Caenorhabditis elegans: one gene and its partner. The protein of the gene in region 2 purifies or fractionates together with the protein of the main gene of each other region. This does not show direct contact. Each region holds a gene or a part of one and is shown on either strand. Other genes may lie near its edges. The genes, in order: aak-2 and vgln-1.

Region 1 (12,029 bases), on a different chromosome or scaffold from region 2:
CACTGAATCAGAGGCTTATGGGGTGAGTTGAAAAATTTAGGCAAAGAACGTGTATCAAAGAAATGTATCAAAAAAATTCGAAAAAATGCCGAATTACTACTAGCGAGCAGGCAAAAAAAAATTTATTTTTATTCCAAAAAATTTATCTCAACTATTTCTAGTTTGTCAACTTGCTAGCCGATTTTGGTGGACAACTCGGTCTTTGGTGCGGAATATCCTTCCTTACCTGTTGCGAATTTGTGTTCCTTTTCTTGGAAACTGCCTACATGAGTGCCGAACATAACTACTCTCTGTACAAAAAGAAGAAGGCTGAGAAGGCAAAGAAAATTGCGTCTGGATCTTTCTGAATTTGTTTTTTCTTGTTTTAAAGTTACCATTGCAATGTTGTGTCTTAAAATAAAAATTTACATGAGAATAATTGAATAATTTTGGGTAGGAAATTATTCAATTAATATTTTACTTACAATAGACACAAAGAAGTAGGAGAAGGGGAGTTTAAAAGACAGAAAAAAAAACTACTGAAGAGAAACATATAAAAAACAGAAACAATCACTCGCTGAAGGAAAATCTATTCACAGAAACAAAGGGGGTGACAAGTCAAGTCATAACTTTAAATAATTATTTGTATGGTTACTTGTCAAAATTGGCTGAAAATGAAAGCGGCACTAGAATAGCATCAATTAAAATACGTGGCATTTACGGAGGTGAAGGGGGGAGGGGCAAAACCAAACAGAGTCAAGAAAAAAAATACAAAGATACTGTAAGCTGCAACAAAGTGAACCAATATAAGAAACGGGGGTTTCAAGCTTAATACAAGGAATGGAAGAAATAAATTTTGAGACAGAAAAGTTGAATTTTACACAGAGCATTGTTGGCATCAAGGAGTGCTTAACGAGCCAGTGTTCCAATCAATGCGGCGCAAATCTCAAAGAATTGCATAGTCTGGGAAAGCTTAGCTCCTCCAGGAGATGGTGGTGGTGTCACATCGCACTGAAAATACTCGGTCATTGAAAATTAGTGCGTTAATTATTTAAAGGTAGTGGCATCAACTTCTTGTCACTCGAAGATTTTTAAAAAACCTATAACTATATCAACCACTCCAAATACAATTCCAGTTATTTGTAATACTTCACAATAAAAATATTGAAATAAAAGAAAAATATTAATTCTCACCGACATGTCCGAAAAATCATGCACTTCCATTTTCTCAATACTCGCCTCCATACTCATCGCCTGTGGCATGCTTGACGTTCTAGTTCCACGAATTCCGGCCGGCTTCTGCGGCATAGACATTGATGCGTGTCGGGATGAAGATGCACTGGCGGCTGAAATTTTTAATGAATATTGGTTGAGGTGGAAATTATATATTCATTTGACCCATTAGGAAAAAATGCATACAAAAAAAATCGTCTTGAGAAGACTTGACGCTATTGAAAAAGAATTTCCATTGACCTTTTTATTTTTCCAACTGCAAAGCAAACTTCGTTTTAAACATTTCTGAACAAAATTATTGTGACACGTTAAGCTAGACTACATGCAGAAACTTAGGTTATAGAGGGGCATGTTCAGAGACCATTGCAAAATATTATTCTACGGCTTTTCAAATTCAAATTGTGATTTTAGTTTAAAAAAATGCACTAACTTGTATTTTCTAGTATTTTCTAGAACGATTAACTAAATATTTTAAACAGGTTCCACTTTCAAAAAGTTCAATCTAAACAAAGAAAACCCTTACATCCAGACTCCTCGTCGGCCAAACTCTTGAAATCCAACAAGTAACTTCTCTGATCCACTTGGTACAACTGCAACGACATCTTTGGCGGGTCGGCAGCGGGTGCATCAGGCTTGCGACGAACAATCACATGATATGGGTTGAGCACCTTCCACTCCATGTCCAGCTGCTTCATCGCACGGAACACCTCGAACATGATGTCTTCCGGACGACTTTGGGATCGGATACCCAGATGCCACTTGGCACGTTTGTTGCGGTTCGCGCCACTGGCTTCCGTGTTGTCGAGAGTTGGTGTGATCTTGCTGCTGACTGACGCTGAAATTGAAGATTTAGATATTGTTTTACGAATTTCATGTTCGATGCAAAAGTTTTATTATTCTTTGCCACCAAGAGTTTTTCTATGCACCCTCTCCTACCTGCAATGCGCTCTGGATGGCGATGAACTGGTCCAGGTCCCTTATTCGGCGTCACTTGATAAAACTCCTCAATTGACAACTTGGCAGTCTCATCGGCAATTCTCTTGTTATCAACAATCAAGTTATATGCAATCGACAAATGGTGATGTGGATCATCTCCCAGCAATGCTGAGGTGACTTCCTCTTCGGCGACATGATAGCGCTGAAACTTTTCATTGTGATTAGAAACTTCTGCTCCTATCGAACACGATTAATACCTCAGTGACCTCTCGGACAGCCTCAATATCAACAATGGAAGCCTCACTCTCGTTGATTGGTGGGAACAAGTAGTTCGGCAAATCCTTCTGGAACCACTCGTGAGCACTGAAAATATAAAGCAGTTATTGTCTTGTTTCCTTGGCGTCTCATAGCAACGATGTTTGTTTTTTTTTTCTTTTTAGAAGACCACTTACATGACGTCCTTGATGGTGGCCCTCTTCATCGGGTCTACGCAGAGCATATGGTGAAGCAGATTTACAATTGGGCGCTCCAGAAAGTCTGGAGTTGGGAATACGCCAGCTAAAAAACATATTTCGTGAACGTTATAATTTTTAATGATTCCAATTTAAATTTCAAACATTTATCACCCGGGCAGTGCGCCAAAACATAGTAATAGTGCCTTTTGTAATAGGGATATTTCAATTTTCAAATCCCATTTCGCTTTCATATGTCTAAATGAAATTGGTATGTTGTCGTAATCCTTTGCCATTTTTGTGTTTTGATTCTCATGTCACACTAACGTACATTTAATTTTTCTGAAAAGACTTGGCACGTGCTCATCATCAAATGGCAGGGTTCCACAAAGAAGTGCATACAAAATGACTCCACACGACCATACATCAACTTCGGGACCTGCGTACAACCTGCAAAACAAAGTTGTTGTGTCTAATCTTGTTCAATTACTTTAATTGGATTTCTACTAGTGCAAAATGTCGTCTTGGTGTTTGCGAACACATGTTTCATGTTTTGTTATTCAGTTCTAATTTGGTTTTTATTTTACATTGAACCATGATCAGGAGACCACCATAATCACTCACTTTCCGCTAATAACCTCAGGGGCAGCATAATTTGGCGATCCGCAGCTGGTGCGTAAGAAGTCACCATCCGTCATAATATTTGAAAGTCCAAAGTCCGCAATCTTCACATTGTTCTGCTCATCGAGCAACAAATTCTCTGGCTTCAAATCTCTATGGACAACCATATGACGATGACAGTAGTCAACGCCGGAAATGATTTGTTGAAAGAAGCGACGAGCTTCTGCGGTCTTCAGCCGTCCGTGCTTAACAATGTAGTCAAAGAGCTCCCCGCCGGAAACGTGCTCCATAATCATGAAAATGTCAGAAGGTGTACTGATGACTTGGTAGAGGCGGATGATATGCGGATGGCGGAAGAGCGAGAGGTTTTGGATTTCGCGGCGAATCTTTCCAACGACATCCAGTGACTTGATCTTCTGACGGTTCAGAATCTTGACAGCCACTTTGTATTGAGTTGTCTCATGGATTCCAACTGAAAATGTGAAAACTAGATGAACAGAAAAGAAAGATAAATATGTCAGTATTTGGCAGATTGGGACAAAATTTTTGCAACAATTTGGCAGCTTATGGTGTTGCCAGGAAGTTGCAGCAAATGAAAAAGTTTCTAACTTTCCGGTTTGGTTGAATTTTAAGGTGTTGTAGCTTACCTTTTACTTTACCAAAAGTACCAACTCCGAGTGTCTCCTTGAGAATGTAATGTCCGATTTTGATTTGAGCTTTGAGCTCTTGTTGCTGCTTCGTCGACGTTTCTCCTCCTGGAGACGACATTTTCGAACTGTTGTCTGTGCTATCGCGGTCCTTGCGTTCCTTTCTGAAAACGTACGTTGTTGGTAGGTAAATGATCGTAAGTAAAATCTCGAATTCACAAGTTCCTCAGAATAATTGTTCAGTTAAAAAATCAATAAATACAGTCACGAGGAACCTCCTGCAAATAGCAAAACAACGAGAAAAACAAGTGTATAAAGAGCATGTATTTTTCAAAGATCAGAAATCTAAGAACAAGTTTTGGTGTTTTGAGAACATAGCAGAAACAAAAAATGTCTAGAACTACAACCAACAAAGATCGATGCCTTTTTTCCTTTGGCCGAAAATGTGGTAAAAGGTCCGCCAACCTCCCGCACACTCTCGCGACCCCTACACCTCTCACACGCACACTCTTCTCTCTCGATCTTCCTCGCTCACTCTTTCTCACAATTTTCCTCGTTTTCTAACAACAGACAAACACACACGCACAGCGAAGACAACGAGAGTTGACCATACAGCACAAAGCAATGGCGAGAGATAGAGAAAAAGAGGAGAAAAATAGAAGGGAAAGGCATCCCGTGTGTTCGTTTCCTTATGTCTATCGTCCTCCGGCGCAAACAGCGTTGGTAGGTAGGAACAAAAAAATAGAAAGAAGAAATTGAACTTTCATTTAAATTTTTAAAAAATCTTTAATATTTATTTAGACCTAACCTAAAAAATTGACAACAAGTAGTCAAATGGGAACGAAAACCAGAAATGAGATAAGATTGAAAACCGAAAATCGCGTTTTTCTACAGGCAAAAGTGCAATGTGGACATGATTGATTGATTTTACGGGTCTCAAAGACTTAAAAATTGATAACTGGTGTGGTTTTTGGATGGTAATTTTGAATGGATAAACAAAAAAGCAACTTCTTATCACAGAATGACCATTGCAGTAGGAGTCTCTAGGAAAACCGTATGCCCATCAGGTCTTATGACTGCCGCCCAGACACCAGACACTAAATTTCAAAAACAGCAGGTGCAGTCAGTGTTTTGACATAAATGTGCCGGATATGAATGGTAGAAGAGACAATAGGAAAGGTTCCAAAATCAACACCAATTACAGATTTTCAAAAGGTTGGAGGAACTGAAACATCTATTTTGAGAGAACAAAAAAACATGTAGAAAAACATCATCGAAGGTCAGACAGTGGAGACGATAGAGAAAACACAAGCGCTCAATGAATAATAGCCGTATTGTGTCATCGAAATTTGATACACTCGTAATATAAGTGGTGAAGATAACAACAATAATCACAATTTGATACGACTAGCATCAAAAAGTTATGCATTAAAACTGTGATTTTACTAATTGAAATTGTCAAGTTGGTAGAAAATTAATTACAGACGATTTATGGCATTTGAAAAAGTATTAAAAGAACTGTTACACCGCAATTTTTGAATTTTTTAAATGACTTCTACTAAAACGAGTTAAACTTTAAAATTAGTGAGACTACCAAAAACGTTTCCACTGATAAAAAATTGAGACAATTTTTCTAACTGCACTTTGAAAAAGTAAACTCGGCTGACATCGTAGGGTTTCATTTTGGCCACAAAATTTTGAAATCAATTTTAAGTTGGAACATGTGGTTTTTTTGTTAGATTTATGTGATTAACAGCTGCTCATATTCTCCTAACTCAGCTGAAAGTTTGCCCTTTATATTGGAAATTTAACGTATGTCCATGTTCAAAAAGTGCACGTTTGAAATATTTTTATATTTGTACTAATAGAAGTTGCACAAAAATTTGAGATTTTTGAAAAATATCCACCCTACTGGAGCTAGAACAAAACAACAGAAAAATAATAAAATCCAACTGATCAATATTTTTATAAATTTTGTCAAACTGTAATGTTCAATTATCAAGATGTAGTCTATTTCAAAAACTCAGGAAAAATTTAGCTCATAAGATGTCAGTCGCTTCAACTTTTCTACAGCGGATTTGAGACAATCCAGGGTTTAGAAAAACTATTTAGAAAAATGAGCTTAACTTCTATTTGAGAAAAAAACTTTTTCACAAATCATGAGAAAATGTCGAAAACAGTTTTTTAAAAATAATTTTTGCATTGCATAAAAGAATGACAAAATCGAATCTGGGAGCTTTCAAATTTCACAAGTTCCCACTAAATTTTCCTGTAGTTTCAGCAAGAATATATTATATTATACGGTGAAGCCTCTTGAACTGAATTTCTATGAAACTAAGCATCTCAGATATTTATGCTTTTGTATATAAATTGCCACAAAAAATTGTCGGCTGCAATAAAAAATAATAACCTATATTAAAAGTTTGAGGCTCAAATATTAGACAACAAAATCTAGAAGCTCAATAAAAATTTTCCAACTAACATTTATTCAATTGCCTTCTCGTGATCATTGAAAATATATTCAGTTACTTCACGGAAAACTTCCGAACCTATCAGAATTTTCCTAATTTATGGGAAACTCTTTTTTTTGTTGGAAATTTTGACAGGTCTCCTTGCAGAACGATGAAGAGATGTTAAAAATGAACACTGGCGGAAGAACTCAAGGTTCAAGATTCGTTGGTGTGGTATCTGTTTGTGTTTTTCATGATATACATGTGACTCCATCAAGCTTTGGCGTGTCCACACACACACACACACACACTCACACTCTCTCATACACACAAATACGCAAACGAGATCACTCAATTTACCATGATTTTCAACGGAGGACAAAAAGAAGAAAAGCCTTTTGGTCGCCTCACGCGGGGCGCCAGCCGTCTGCGTCTCACACTATTTTCGGATACGTTGCGGCACGTGTTTTTCCAATGCTAAATGCACGGAAATTGGGTTTGAAAGCGGAATGAATGAGGAGAATCCGTGAGAATACGAAGAAAATGTTGCCAACTAGGTAAAGAGGGGGGAAGTTGGTCCGATGAACGGAGTATCGTACCGCGCGTTGTTTAGTGGAGGGCGGCAGCGTTCCGCGCGGCTCACTTATTCGGGAAGGGCCCCCACATTGTTCGTTTTGCATTAAGGCTCCAGTCTCTTTTCTTTTGTTTTTGCATTGAACATTTTTGCTGTTATCTTTTTCTGTTTTGCTAATCGTAATGGGCGTTTACAAAAAGTTGCTGAAAATTAATATTTAGTCTTTCAAAAACTAGTGATCTAGAAAGTTTTCAAAAAAAAACCTTGGTACGTTATTTTAAATGTGAACAATCTTTAATTCACACAGACAAAACACGGAATTCAGGGAAAATTCAGTATTTTCCCGAATTGGAATCTAATTTGCTGAGGGCCGATGAATTTTTCAATATTTCGTAATACTAAAGTAATTTGTACGGAAAATCTGAGTTGATTAGCTGAGGCGCTAGAAGCATGTTTAATTTTTTCACTAAACTCATCAGTGTGGTTTTAAAAAAAATTAATCTTTTTCACATTTTCAAATGAAAAGAACATCCCTTCTGTGGCTACCCATCGCAAAATTTTAGAATTGCGGTTTTTGACTTCCCTTGACCCCCCGAAAACCCCTCAAAAACTAACCTTGACTTTGCCGATAGCTTTCTTGAAAGATTTTTCACGCGATTAAGTCCACTTGGCTGACTCCGACTCTTGGATTTCATCTCAGTACCGTCTCCACCACCGTCCTCCTTCCTATCGCGGTCTCGATCTTGATGAGAAAACATTTCTGAAAATAGTCGGTTATTTTGAAATGTAACCTAAAAAACGGGCATTAGAACGGCAATGTTAGACCTTGAAATCCAAAAAAAGAGAGAAAAGCCACTTTGTCATGCGCAGAAATCGGCGGCGATGGTGATGACGGAAAATGTGAATAAGCATATTTTGGTGGCGTTTTTTGGTTTTTCTAACAGCTCGGCTGCTAAAAAGGTTTGCTGTGTAAATAGAACAAGTACTCACCGAACACTTTTTTCATTGTTTTTCACGTCGAGAAGCAGCGAATTTTCTTTTTTTGAAGGGATAGCTTTTTGAATTTTTTTTTAGCTATTCAATGCAACATAAAGCAATAGAAAAAATGAAGGAGAACAATTGAAGCTAGCTCTCGAAGAATGTTTGATGAAAGCGAAAACTTCACTTCGAAATTTCAATATCTAGTGGAAAAGGTTTTCTAAAACTAACAGGGCGAATATAGCCATCTTTTTCCAAAATGCCATAAAAGTGGAAATGTAAATGAGGGTATGAACATTAACAATTTTTTTGACACGTTCATGTGAACAAAAAATTCCACCCGCATAGTTCCATATTTTTAGAAATAACAAAAATTGCCTAATATCACTTAATGCTCTAGCTCTAATCCAGTTACTAATCCTTATTTCAAAACGATTTTTAAGCACTTTTCAGTGCTTTTTCCTTCCTCTCGCCAAACAAAAAGCAAATATGTTCAGATGCTCGAGTGCAACGCACTGAAGCTATATTTGGCAGAATACCAAAAAATCGATTCAAAACGCAATGTAACAGCGCGTGGAAAGTTGAAACAATGTGATGATACCAGAAACATTCATAATAAATTCTGGTAAAGTGAGCCCTCCTCACTTGACGCTACTGTTTGTGAGTATCAGACTCGGCGACTTTTGTCAAAGTAATCGGATCAGAACGGGGCAGTGTATTGGTATACCTCCTGCCACAAGGCACGTGCCAGACAATATGAAACAGTATATGCGTTTTATTCAGTCTCTATTTTTTTCGCAATTCCCGCAGGGAAAGTCACCTGCCAAGCTTACAGCTTCTAGGAAAACATTATACTTTAACAACTATAGATAAATTTTGAAACTTAAAAGTTACTTGTCAACGAGAGCTCATGATACGAGAGCCAACGAGAGCGCGGGAAAAAAAATGAGAGGGAATAATAACTTTGAACGATGGGACGAGTTGAAAAGTGTCATATTTCGGAGCACAATGGTTTTGAGCACACTCGGCGTCCAAGTGATGAGAAAAGTTTACTTCTTCGTTAGACACTTGTTGACTTGCTTTCTTTGTTTTTGAAATTTTTGTTCAATTTCCATTTTTCTAACAACTATCATTATGTTTGTTTTTGTTGCCTCTTAATTGTTAGTTTTGTGAAAAATCCATGTCCATGTTCATCTTTATTGATTTTAAAAATTTTCAAATTAACTTCAAAATCATTAAAGGCCACCCATTAAAGTCGGTGACTAAAATAATAAATCAGAATGTGCTGAAAAAATTTTTAGTTGTCGTAAATTTTACAAAACTTTGTTGAGAACTTCGCCACGTAGAATTGAGGCTTTAAGGCGGCCCGGAGGCGCCTCTTATCGCCTTTTTCTTTACCTCTTCTCTCACCCTTCTTTCTACCGGAAATCTTGTATGCAAATTCTCATTACGGTGAATATTTTTCTGTGATTTTTTTTCATTTTTACTTCTCATTCATTCAAAGGCGTTTACCGGGCGGAATGTTGTTTAGTTCTCATCCATATTTCTAAATACCCAGCAACTTGGATTTTCTCGTGTATACTGTTCCATTTCTTTTCATCATGTCCCGCCATCATCACCCCAAAAAGAAAACCGATTATTTTTCGTTTCGAAAATTTACATAAACATGTTTTTCCGCCTGGCCACGTGAGATTGTTATATTTATTTATCTAGGCGGTTTCGCACCATCACTCATTTCAAAAGGTCATTTTGCCAATAATTTTTGAAGTGGTCGTTTGGTTTTTGAATCTTTGAAGTTCACGAGGTAGTTGTATAGGTTAACCTTGATTCCTTTTGTAAAGGGATTTTGAAAAAATCAGCTCTTTCAAGGTTTTTCTATAGGCAAAAACAGAAGAAAACTTCCACTAGAAAATTTCAAAAAAAAAAATAGTTTTTCATTTTTGGTGAGGGAATTTTGATATAATTTCATTTATTCCTAGGATCTTATTACATTAACCTAGATAAATATCCAATCTTTTTTTTCAATTTTCAAAAAAGTAATTTGCCTTATCAAAGAACACTTTGAAACCCTCACAAATGACACATTTCGATCTCATTGCGCTGCGTTTTGCCCGTTCTCTCCACCTTGCCATCACGTTTTCCTCGAAATAAAAATTTTCAAAATGGTCACGTCTCGAAAAACGTCTCTGGCAAACAACAACGCTGCCTCTCGTTTTCTACCCGCATGTGTTGTTTTCTCGGAAATAGTGTGTGCTTATTGGAGGGCGGGCCGACGAGAAAGAGTTGTCGAGAAGAGGCAGTCCGTTTTTGAGACCCCCTTTCCTCAATTTGTCCGAAAACTAGGCAAAATTTCCTGTAACTTTTGTTGTGAACTGTCGACTTTGGTGCAATAGAAAGTAACCATCTAGTTCAGTCTTGAAACTGGGCCCGTAGTCTTATCAACACACGTTTCTGTTGATTTCTTGAGTGCTAAAATAAGAAAGTAGAAAGTTTTACGTTTCTTATCGTATAATAATTTTTATCATCAAATCGATTTTTATTGGAAACACCTAAAACGTTTTTTGTTTCCAAGTAAATCCTCTCGAATGTCGATGAGGTGACCTCCTTTTAACGTGGTCATTTTTCGATTTTGATCTCTTTCGCTATATAAATACACCTCATTATCGCGTTTTGCGGCATACCGCCACTCTTTTCATCTCTTCAATTTCTATAACTAAACTTATTGATTTTTTTTAATTCCAGAAACAACACTCAACATGTCCTTCTTTGACGGAATCCCAGTTGCTCCACCAATCGAGGTGTTCCACAAGAACAAGATGTACCTCGATGAGACGGCTCCCGTCAAAGTTAACCTGACAATTGGAGCCTACCGCACAGAGGAGGGACAGCCATGGGTGCTTCCAGTCGTTCATGAGACTGAAGTCGAAATCGCCAACGACACCTCGCTCAATCACGAGTATCTTCCAGTTCTCGGTCACGAGGGTTTCCGCAAGGCTGCCACCGAGCTTGTCCTCGGAGCCGAATCGCCAGCTATCAAGGAGGAAAGATCGTTTGGAGTACAGTGTCTCTCTGGAACCGGAGCTCTTCGTGCTGGAGCCGAGTTTCTTGCTTCAGTGTGTAACATGAAGACCGTCTACGTGAGCAACCCAACATGGTAAGTGGTCGAAAAATCGGAGCCAAACATACTTATCTGATAAAATATAACAAGTCTTGTATTGGCCAGAGTGAGTAGCAGTCAACCAGAACTTCAACTTCTTAAAATAGCCGCCCAATTCTTGGCAGTATTACCATAAACCTAGGTAATCTAGGTAAAAAATGAGTTTCAGCAAGGCTCTTTCAAAGAGGTGTAAGGTACTTTTCCTGAACCTCTGATAATGCTGGGCGAAATTCATCAAATCATGAATTTTTATCATTTTCAGGGGAAATCACAAGCTTGTCTTCAAGAAGGCTGGTTTCACCACCGTCGCCGACTACACCTTCTGGGACTATGATAACAAACGTGTGCACATTGAGAAGTTCCTCTCCGATCTTGAGTCAGCCCCAGAGAAGTCTGTCATCATTCTTCACGGATGTGCTCACAACCCAACTGGAATGGACCCAACTCAGGAGCAATGGAAGTTGGTTGCCGAGGTGATCAAGAGAAAGAACCTCTTCACCTTCTTTGACATTGCTTACCAAGGATTCGCATCTGGTGATCCAGCTGCGGACGCCTGGGCGATCCGCTACTTTGTAGACCAGGGAATGGAGATGGTTGTGTCCCAATCATTTGCCAAGAACTTTGGACTTTACAGTAAGTTTTGAATAGAAGATGAAAAGTAAAATACTTCAAAATTTCAGACGAGCGTGTCGGAAACCTTACTGTCGTCGTCAACAATCCAGCTGTCATTGCCGGATTCCAGTCTCAAATGTCGTTGGTTATCCGTGCCAACTGGTCCAATCCACCAGCACATGGAGCAAGAATTGTGCACAAGGTGCTCACCACCCCAGCTCGCCGTGAACAATGGAACCAGTCTATTCAAGCGATGTCTTCTCGTATCAAGCAGATGAGAGCCGCCTTATTGCGCCATTTGATGGATCTTGGCACTCCTGGAACTTGGGATCACATCATTCAACAAATTGGAATGTTCAGCTACACCGGACTTACTTGTGAGTTTGCTTT
Region 2 (10,981 bases):
AGGATCAGAATGGATCTTGCCTTTCCTACGAATCACCAACCCAGTGAGAACTATCATTGAGGAGATGACAACAAGGCAGAGTGTTCCCATGGGTGATACATTTGGTAGGACACTGTGCGAATATTCCTGAATAGTACACATTACGGGAAAAAATAATTTTAAAAAAATCACCTGAACCAGACCAGACGTATATGTCGGAGCATCAAACTTTCCGATCTTGAGCAAACTTAAAACTCTATACAGGCATAAGTCTGCGAAATTGTACAGAGCCCAAAAATTAGGCGCCCAGTAGGCGTGTGTTAGGCCTCGCGATACCGGAAAGAGGCGGGTGGCAATATTTTGAAGGCCCTGGACTCCTGAGGCGTGGATAAATGGGAAAATTGATGCACAAAATGGAATGAGCAGAGCAATGGCGAGAGAAATTGCTGAAAATATTCAATTTTGATTCTTATATAAAATTATTCGTGTGTCAAACCTTTTGGCGTATTGGCCAGAAGAACATTTCCAGAGAATTGAAAATAATTGACTAAATAGTAGAAAACGTATCCGAGGGCGTAATAGACGTAGATGTGCTTGAAATTCAGCAAAATTGAGTAGGAAAGTGCTGCCTGAAAAATACAATTATTACAAAATGTTTGAAAGTTTTAATTTTTTATCTTAAAAGTTAAATATTCTTACCATCAGATATCTTTCCGTATCGATAAAAAACAGAGACATCAAAAAAATCGCAGTGAGCATCGAATTGTATTGAAAATGAATTGAATCACAAATAATTAAGGCTTGTAATGATGCCAGAAGCACGAAACAAGCTTCTCGTCCATTTTGTTGCAATTTCTTCGGAATTCTGCTGACTAGACGTGGAGAGCGGAAGGAGTATAGAGCGCAGACAGCAATCTGAATAATTCTAGATTTTTGATATTTATAGTTTTTTTTTAATTTAAAGAAGTCAAGATTTTTTGTTCTATAAATTATATTATTCAGAAACGAAATTTAGGGTTTTTGCGGAAAGGTGACGGTCCTTCTTGACGCGAAAATTGGTTGCAAAATGCAAACGGCCGTGCGCCTTTAAAGAGTACTGTAGTTCCAAACTTTCGTTGCTGAGGATTTTTAAAAAATTGTTTTTCGCTATTTAAAAAAATATTTATTTATTGAAAAATTAATGTGAAACAATTAAAAACACATAAATTTAAACAAATTGTGGGAAAAACTTTGAAAATTCGATGAAAATACCTTAGCAACAAAAGTTTGTAATTATAGTACTCTTTAAAGGCGCTTATATTTTACAAAACAGGGTCGTGGCGAGACCCAATATCGTATTATTGGCACAAAATTCACGAAAATTCGCGTCTGGCTTGAGCTACCAAACTTTTTGAATTTTTAAACAACTCACATACAAAATATCGCAGAAAATTACTGAAAATCGCTGGAAAATCAAAATTCGTCGAGAAAACCGCGGAGTCTTTGATATCACCAAACATTCATCGAATCTAAAAACTGAATAAATTCGCCCGAGAAAATTCCAATTGTTACCCAAAAAAGTGCGCAACAGACGCAAGACCCAATTCGAAATATGCGAAAAACGGAGGATAATCGAGTGTCCATTCAGATGTTGCTTCTGTATACCATTCACACAATGGCCGTTGCCACGTCACAGCCATCCAATTACGATGAACCTGTATGGAGTACTTGGGAAACAGTGTTCAACTCCAATTTACCTCGAAATCTGTAGATACATAAGCAGGAATCAGCAAACATTTGAAGGATATTAGGATCGCTGTCACAGCCAGGACCAGCTGCACTTCGCCCATGCTTCTAGGAACATGAATATTGGATCTATCTGTATTTGTTGGAAAGCGGTAATAACAAGAATTCTCACATGTACATTTAGCCTACATCATTATACATTGTTTTGATTACACCAATTCAGTTTATTATAATGAAAATTATAATAAAAAATATGTATGATAAAACCAACGTCAAGTGGTGAAAACGGATGGATTGGGGTCGGATAAAACCTTTTGGGGGGAAGTTTACATCGAGTAAAGAAGTTGGAAAAAAAAGAAAGAAAACGAGCAACAAACGAAAACGTGTAGAGTGGGGATAACAGGATAAAAGCCCGAAAAGAGTGGGGGAAAACCATGAACAATAAATTATTACTAGACTGGAACGGGTGGAGAGGAAAGGCACATTCGACTGATTAGATTATCCGCAATAGTTTGTTGGTGGTAACGCGTTGGGGGACATAAATATTAAACAAAAAAGAGTAGATGGGAGGGCATTTATATCAACAAGAAAAAACTAATAAATACACTTTTTAAGGGGTGATGGGGCTGATTTAAGGAATTCACAAGAAGGAAAGCAGGTGACTATGGTTATTGACGTTGGTTGAATCATCCAGATTCGAACGTTCTTTACCAACGACGAGAGGATCCCCAAGCACCGGCTCCTCCGACGGCAGCAGATGATCCGGCTGCTGGTCCCATGTCTGGGAATTGCTCAGAGCTTCCCAAATCCAATTGCCATGGTGCTCCCTTCATCTGGACAGACGTTGGTTGCTGATGGTGACGGGTATTGTTCGACTCTTGTTGGCGTGGAGACATGTATTGGGTCTGTAACAATGAAATAAGAATTCAGAAACAAATTTCTAAACTAACTCTCTCGACGTTGTCAAGCAAGAACTCCTCTTCCTCAGCGCGCAAATGATCGATACAATCATACACGTCATTTTCATCTTTTCCTGCAACGACAACCAAGTTTGGATCTTCTGCTCCTTGACGTGGAAGACGAATTTCGACACGATAGTCTTCCATGACCTTTTTCAAGTTCTTTCCTCTTTGTCCAATAAGACGTGGATGATATCTGGCATCAAGGCTAATTTCTTGAGTGAACATAGATCTCAGCTCAGAAATCATCTCTTCGATGGCAGCGGCGCATTCGTTAGCCTTCTCCTCGTATCCTTGAATGGTAATCGTTTCGTTTCCATCCTCTCGTGGTACATTGATGATAACACCGTACTTTTCCTTGAGAGCAGTGATGGTGGCTCCACGTTGTCCAATAATCTTCTGATGATAATCAGTTGGAACATTGATGGACATTGACCATTGCTTGAGCTTGCGGTCTTCGGCTTGAGCCTCGTATTCGCCAAGTTTTCCACGGAGAGCCTCAAGAGCTTGATCGACATTTTCAGTCTGACCAGTCACGGTGATATCCTCGCTGGAGTTGTCCTTTGGAATAGAGATGTTGACATCATAGTCTTGCATAAGCTTGCGAACCTGAAACATTTAACTCATTAAACTTTGATTCAAAAACTAAAAAAACTAACGGTCTCTCCTCCACGACCAATAATCGAGCGGTGCATGTCAACTGGAAGTTGAATGACTTTCGAGATAGGAACCATGGCAAGAAGAGCCTCCTTGGCTTCCTCGACTTTGGTGTCACGGCCTGACACAGTAACTTGATCGGATCCTTCTGAGCCTTCCTCGCGATTGTTGGGGAATCTAATGGAGACATTGTACTTTGACTGGAGCTCGTGGATCTTTGCTCCGCGTCCGGCAAGAAGTCCCCGATGGAACTGAGCTGGGATGGTGACATTGTCTGTGATCTGTTTCTCGTAGTCCTCAACGACATCTTCAATACGGTTCTTCGCAGCCTCAACACATTGCTTCGATCCACGGATAGAAACTTCACTGCTGTCAGTTCCATTCTTTGGGAATGAAATGACTACTCCACCGTTCTGTTCCTGGATCTCCTTAACGAGTGCAGCTCCACGGGCGAGGAAGTTTTTGTAGTATTTTGGATCTACAGTAATCTTGATGTCAACAGTCTCTGAAAGTTGCTTGATAGCGTCTTCAAGAGCAGCCTTAGCCTTTGGCACGTCTTCTTTCTTTCCGAGCAAATGGATCGTCTCCTTCTCAGCATCTCCTTCCTTCGGGAACATAACTCTGACGTTGAGGGTGTCACGGAGTTTGGCAATCTTGGATCCACCTTTTCCAATGAGGAAACGATGAAACTCTGGCTTAGCCTTGACGGTATCTTCAACATAATTTTCTTCTTTGTCCTTTGCAAGAGCAGAAAGAAGTCCAACAGCCTTTGCAACATCTCCAGCAGGTCCACGGATGGTAACTTTGGTTGATTCGCTTTTCTCTGATGGGAAACGAATATGAACTCCACCGCACTCGTCCTCAATGTCCGAGATCAAACGACGTCCATTTCCAAAGAATCGAGATTGGACTTTCTGTGGAATTTCAATACTTTCTTCAGCAACGTTGGCGAGTTCCTCTTGAATTTTGTTCAGCTGAGCGACCGCTTTCTCCACATTGGCTTGCTTTCCAGTGACAGTGATTTTTCCATCGTCAGATCCACTCTCTGGGAGATCAATGCGGGTCTCGGTTTCGTCACGAAGCTTGCGAATGCTGGCTCCTCCCTTTCCGACAATATGCTTCAAAAACTCTTTGAAGATTGCAACAGTTTGTTGGTAGTTGTTCTCAGCCTGAAATGAAAATTCATTAAAATCGTCTAATAATGTGTTTTCAACTTACATATTCCTTAGAAAGAGCGGTGAGCTTCTTGTAGACAGCATCAACCTCAGTCTTGTCTCCACGGATGTTAACAACGTCAGACTTCGACTTGGCATCAGGGAACACAACCGATACATTTGGATGAGAATCGCGAATGACTTGAACTCCGGAGCCTTTCGATCCAATAATAAGCTTGTGGAGACGTTGTGGAATGATGATATCACGCGACTTTTCGTTCTCAATCTTTGTGACAATTGCCCGAATTTCGGTAACAGCCTTCTTCACACCTTCCTTCTTTCCTTCAACAACAATCTCGTCAGAGTTGGTTTCCTCGTTAGGGATAGTAATCTGAACACCATGTTGATCCTTGATTTTTGAGATGAGTGATCCACCACGTCCAATAACATGACGATGAAGTGTTGGATGAACTTTGACTTTCTCGATAGCGAGCTCCATTTGAAGACGAGCAACTTCCTTGCTGAGTGGCTCGAAAGCTAGCTTAACTTCTTCTGGAGATCCCTCGAGGAAAATCTGGTTAGAGTTATCAAATTCGATCTGCACGTTATTGCGGTTTGGCACGAGAGCGGTAAGAGTTGCTCCTTTTGGTCCGATCAAATGCTTGTGGAGCCAGTTTGGAGCAGAAATAGATTGGGTGACCACAGATGAAGCACGCTCAATGACAAGAGCCAGAGCCTTGGCAAGATCTTGAGCGTTTCCGATAAGTGTGACTTGGTCAGATCCCGAATCTTCTGCTGGTACTTCAACAACGCATCCTGTTTTCTGAAGAACATCATGAATTCCGCTTCGAGATTGTCCAACAATGTAACGATGTTGGGTGCGAGCAACTGCAACTTGAATGCTCGAAACATTTTTCTTCGACTCGATGATCTGGCGAATTTCAGCAGCAACACGTAGAACTCCATCCTTTTCTCCGGTTACCGAAATAACTTCGTTCGTTACGTGTGGTGGTGGAATGTTAATTTTGACACCATTGTTTTGAGTAAGGCGATCATATGTCTCATTTTTTGGGCCACGAACAAATGCAACCAAATTTTTTGGGCAGACGATATGCTCTGTGGCGAGTTTGGCTTCGCGCTCAGAAACGGCCAAAATGTGAGCAGCAGCACGTTGAATTCCCTCGCGTGGTCCAGTGATAGTGATCTTCGACGATGGTCCATCGCGATTTGGGATTTGAATTCTACAATTAGTTTCTGCCTCGAGATTTCTGAGAAGAGCTCCCTCCTTTCCAATGAGACGTCCGTGATGATCTTTTGGGATATCGATTTCACGAGATGCCTGGGTTTGGAGATCGCGGATGATGCGAGCACGAGCTTCTTCAGCCTTTGCGCGCTCTCCCTTCACCACGACAGTGAGTTCTCCGTCCTTTGACTCACTGAGTTCAATTCTGGTCTCTGAAAGCGGAGATGATTAGATTTTCGTTGGAATTGGGAAAACTCACTAGTAGCAGTGGCAATAGCCTGGGCTTTCTTTGATTCTTCTGACGTGCTTCCAAAGCTCTTCACCTTGTTGGAACGCTCGTCCGAGGCCAAACGGAAAGTGATGTTAACTTCAGATTTCGAGAGAGTCGGGCGAGACCAGACGTGAGTCTGTTTGGCGGTTGGAGCAGATGCAGGGGCAGCGTCAGGAAGGGTTGGGAAATCTGAAGCATAGCTGAAGCTCATGACAGCTCCGCCAGTGGCTGGGTCGATTTCGACATTATTAGTCTCTTCTGAAACAAAAAAACTTGAAGATATATTTTTTTAATTTTAACCAACCAATATGTCCGTTGTCCATAATTCGTGTTGTCAGAAGGGTTGGCTGATCCGTGTCCGGGGGTCCGTGCGCAAGGCAATTAATCCGATCGGGGGAGTCTGTTGAGGCGACCTGTGATGTTGACCGAACTAGGCTCGAGAACCGTCCGAATCAAACAATACCTACAAAAAAGAAGATAACTATTTGTTCAAAGTCATATGGAGCAAAAAAGATAGAGGAAGAAAGGAGAATTGGAAAAGATAAATTGAAATTTTGCGAGGCTTACGAATCGAAATCTGACCACAATTAAGAATTATTATTTTAGTATTATTAAAGAAGAGGCAAGTCGACGTGTATTTTTCAAAAGGAGTTCTGAACAGCTAGAAGGTATGATTCACGAAATTATTTTTGTCATTGAAAGGCAAGGTATATTCGAAAACCGAAGTCGAAAATCCTAAGCAGTGGTATGAATTTAGCCCAATAGGTCAGGGCCGAATCGTATTACGATCAGACTCTCTCTTTCTCTCTCTCGCAGGGCAAACACCACGTATACACAAATCGGCCAACTACACAGTAAAGATGGCAGTAGGATAGTTCCTCCTCGCATAGTTCCCCGTTGGAACGTAGAACACTCTTTCTCTGCGTCTCTTGCATTTCTTGAACGATGGACAACGTGGCGGTGCTGGTCTTGTGCCGCTCTTTTTTTTTAAAGTTCCCTAGTTTCACTAGCGTCTCGAGAAGTGTGGCAAAAACATTAAGGAATTCGGAAAAGGGTTATTAAAACCAGAAAGAAATCAGAATTGAACGCTATTCATAATTTTTGTAAAATAACGCTAAAAAAAGAAACTTGAACTAAATGAAGGAGCGAAAGAAACAACTATTAAGAAATAAGAAATCTGACAAATTGCTAATCGGGAAATGCAAGAAGGATGATTATAGTTGCTAGGTCAGGGCCGTTCCATCAACTATCTTCTTTTTCCATCCACCTCAAATGAAATAGATAAAATCAGCCGCAGCTAGCACCGCCACTAGCCTGCGATAGGGATCATGTACCCAATTTTGAGTGATAGATACACGTAATTGCACCTTAAAACTTATTGACATTCAATTGATGGACACCAGTTAGATAGAAAAACGAGCCACAAAAATGTCGGGCTACTACTGATAAGATGGCAGTGATAGACTGAGTTGAGTTGTATGGCAAGAACAATCATAAAAATAATAATGAAAACGAGAGGGTCACAAACTGCAAACATGGCAACTGAGGATTAGAGTTTGAAAAAAGTTTCCTCGCGGGAATCTCATTTATTTAATACTCCTAGATTTCAATTAATTTATTCATAGAAGACAAATTTAAATTGGGAAAAACCTAGACATTTACCGAGAATTAATTCGCATCGCAGGATAAATTTTTTGTCATGTTTCTAACTATGATTTTCTCAGAAAGAACATATAGCGTGAAACAAGATAAAAAATGATTTTTTAGAAAGGAGAAGCCTACAAAATATGTCTATCGAAAAAACGGTTTTCAAACTCACGACGCAACGACTAAGGGACCTAAAACAAGGTTTCAATGCACAGATATTCCGAATAATCATAACGAATTTTAAAAATAAAATCTAAAATTATCGCAAAAATGCAAAAAAAATATCCAGAAACAAGTTTTTTCAGAGCAAACGAACTTGCAGTGTGGCAACTGGTTCGGAGACGCGTCGGGGTACGGTAACACTCGTTTCAGCTGTGTCAATTTTTTAAAACTTGTTTTTTGTGTTTTAATTGGTTAAAACATGTTTTTGGCGTTTTAATTTAGGAAATTATTGAAAATAATTACCAAAAATGCTATAAACATATCATTTGCATTAATTTAAGTTTTTTCAGTTAAATATTCAATGGATCCCCGTAAAATTCGAAACCCATACCATGGAATTGACGATTTACAATCAGATTTTGGAGATGAGCCTTCAAGTAGCTCTAAACCGAAGAGAAAAGGAGATTTTTTGAATAAAGATTATTCGAGTGAAATTCTGAAAAAGCGAAAGACTGATGGACGAGGTGGTTTTGAAGAAGAGCACGGAAGAATGCATAGAAGAATGGCAAAAATGATGTCTATGAACGCGTATGATCGACATAAGGAAATGATCAATTTATATTATCTTTCATACCCGGGAGCTACGAAATTGTTAAATCGGAAAATTCAAGACGAAACAACTGACCTGGATGTCCTTAAAAAGCATCACAGATTTGTTTGGAGTGAGGACGATGAAATTAACGCTTCACAACCTGATAAAAATTCATGGGAAACGAGAATGGCGAAGAAATATTACGATAAATTATTTAAAGGTAAAATATGAGATTAATGATTCTAAATTAATGTTTGTTTATTTCAGAGTATTGCATAGTTGATCTCTCCATGTACAAAACGAACAAAATAGGTATGCGATGGCGAACTGAAAATGAAGTAAAAGAAGGAAAAGGACAACTATCGTGTGGAGCAAGAAAATGTAATGAAACTGCTCATTTATCTAGTTGGGAGGTGAGATTTTCCTTAAAGATTTCTATAATAATAAATAAAAGTATCTTAGGTTAACTTCACTTACAAGGAAGACAATCGGGTCAAAAGTACGCTGGTGAAGGCGAGATTATGCCCAAAATGCTCGGAAAAGCTCAACTACGGAACACGTAAACGACAAGTTGTTCAGAAGAAACGAGCAGTTCGGAAATGGGAAAAAGAACGGAAACGAACTAAAAAGGATGAGGAAGAAGATGATGACGTAGAATTGAATCAACATGAAGCGAAAAATCAAGAAACCAAAGGTGCAATATTATTTAAAACAAAATTTTAAAAATAATCTAAAATAAACTAAAATTTGCATAGAATTATAATTTAAGTTGAAACCTCAATTCTTGTCAGAAAAGTACCGTAATCAGGAGATAAACCTTAAACACAAAACAAGTTTTGAAAATTTCATGTTTCAAAATGTTTTAGAAAATCCATAAATTATGAACAATATGTCTGAAAAAACGAACTTTTTTTTTAAATTTTGGGCGAAAAATGTTGTTTCTGGTAAAAAATTGTTTTCAGAAATATATATTTAAAACAAAACTTCCAGAATTTTCGCCTTTTCCTAGGAATTGAAATCTAGTCTAGTCTGCAAAAATTCATTTTTGAGCAATTTCGCGGAACTCTACAGTAGTTAAAGAAATAAACTGAAAGTTTTGTAAAGTTTCCAGAATGACTTTTTTCAAGTTCTCTCGATTTTCGTCCATTATAAAAATTATACCTTCACCATCAAAATACTAAAACATTTTTTTTTCAGTTCAACCATCAACGTCCACACTGTCTGCATCAACTGATATTTGGGAAGGACCGCCTCCTGCTGAAACAGAGAAAACCGTCGACGACGAGATTGACGAGTTTTTGGATGATCTCTTTTTGTAATTCATAATTATAATAATAAAATGCCTATCAATAACTTTGTGACTTTTTGTTCAACATCACAATCATTTTTAAGGGAAAAAACTTGCGTCAACTTCGAGTTCTCTTTGTGCAAAGTACCACACGAGCGCATAAAATTTAAATGGCCTCCGCGAATTATTTTTGATTTTCTGTGACAAAATGATTTAATAGGTGGTATAAAAACAAACAACGCGTTTCAACATTCTTTACTTTCAACATTTCTTTCATTTAATTTTAAAGTATTCCGCTTCAAGTGTGCAAAAGATCAGTAAATTGAAGTTGTAGTCTGAAATAAATCCGTTTTACATTGCAACCGATTCATGGGATTATGTATCCCTTGCCTGGCAAAACTTTCATTTTTTAGAATTTATTTTTTACTTTATAGAAAAAATAATAATGTAATAACAACATTTTAAAGTAAATACATTTTATTTTCATTAAGCTTGTTAATTCTTAGCAAACATACAGGTACAGACTCTCGACTATTTCTAAATATAAATTGAAGTTCCTATAGAATTTCCTAAAATTAACTATTAACATAACATTTATAATTATTCATTCTCTTTTATTAAAATTTTTGCGAAAAACTGGGTTCTAACGCGAACGAAAATTTTCAGTTACAGTACCCATTTTCGCAATTGTTACTAATTTTTTTCTGTGTATCTTTATCAATTTAGTACTATATTAAGTGTAAATCATCGAATTATAGAATATCTATCACAAATACAATAATAGAAATAAAAACATAAATGATTGAAAACCTACCGTACTCTCGGGTACTGTAGCTGAAAAGTTTTTCTGTTTTTCTCGTGTCAGGAAAAAATGAAAAAATAGTATGTACCGAGCTTATTACTGATTATTATTTTGCTCCTCGAAATTTAATATTTTTGCCAGACACCTAGTTCACTGATAGTAGGCACTTACTTTCTCCTCGACAAAACTTTTTTCTTATTCAGTTTTTGAACTCAAAATTTTGGCAATTAAATTTTGGCAATCAAATTTTGGCTCGGTGAATGATCAGAACACAAAAAAGTCGTTTAATTCATAAAAAGTGTTCTTATCAGTGTCTAGCCTTTTATTGTTTTATTACATCGCGATTTTTTAAAGCATAGAACAGAGTCACGGAAAATATTTTTCAGAAATTTTAAATTTTATCACTTATGTACCTTACTTTTTTTCAGGAAAAAAATGAACAAACTATTAATTTTTATCATGTTGGTTACTTTTTTGGCAATCGAGAAGAGTTTCATGTCAG

The links.
Region 1: the proteins of vgln-1 (region 2) and aak-2 fractionate together in Caenorhabditis elegans (co-fractionation; one large-scale study listed by BioGRID). This does not show direct contact.

What each region holds. Positions count from the first base shown.
Region 1 is NC_003284.9:16,791,710-16,803,738, reverse strand, and holds aak-2 (5'-AMP-activated protein kinase catalytic subunit alpha-2), read right to left. Parts: upstream 7,651-12,029; coding exon 7,508-7,650; intron 6,625-7,507; exon of another isoform or gene 6,565-6,624; intron 4,033-6,564; coding exon 3,869-4,032; intron 3,694-3,868; coding exon 3,225-3,693; intron 3,051-3,224; coding exon 2,932-3,050; intron 2,707-2,931; coding exon 2,601-2,706; intron 2,512-2,600; coding exon 2,406-2,511; intron 2,357-2,405; coding exon 2,149-2,356; intron 2,048-2,148; coding exon 1,736-2,047; intron 1,326-1,735; coding exon 1,174-1,325; intron 991-1,173; coding exon 889-990; 3' UTR 348-888; downstream 1-347. Other genes in the region: Degenerin mec-4, read left to right, coding at 1-22, 162-347; got-1.2 (Aspartate aminotransferase, cytoplasmic), read left to right, coding at 10,627-11,024, 11,290-11,660, 11,708-12,016. UniProt on the Caenorhabditis elegans protein: Acts as a sensor that couples lifespan to information about energy levels and insulin-like signals. Role in motility and response to oxidative stress. Involved in the establishment of germline stem cell (GSC) quiescence during dauer development.
Region 2 is NC_003280.10:9,884,631-9,895,611, forward strand, and holds vgln-1 (K Homology domain-containing protein), read right to left. Parts: upstream 6,452-10,981; 5' UTR 6,312-6,451; coding exon 6,293-6,311; intron 6,247-6,292; coding exon 5,977-6,246; intron 5,930-5,976; coding exon 4,539-5,929; intron 4,490-4,538; coding exon 3,323-4,489; intron 3,273-3,322; coding exon 2,655-3,272; intron 2,610-2,654; coding exon 2,412-2,609; 3' UTR 1,914-2,411; downstream 1-1,913. Other genes in the region: algn-8 (Dolichyl pyrophosphate Glc1Man9GlcNAc2 alpha-1,3-glucosyltransferase), read right to left, coding at 21-126, 172-425, 476-608, 679-894, 1,391-1,487, 1,531-1,673, 1,716-1,808; C08H9.16 (Protein FRA10AC1 homolog), read left to right, coding at 8,159-8,609, 8,657-8,802, 8,852-9,083, 9,587-9,708; Putative acid phosphatase F26C11.1, read left to right, coding at 10,915-10,981.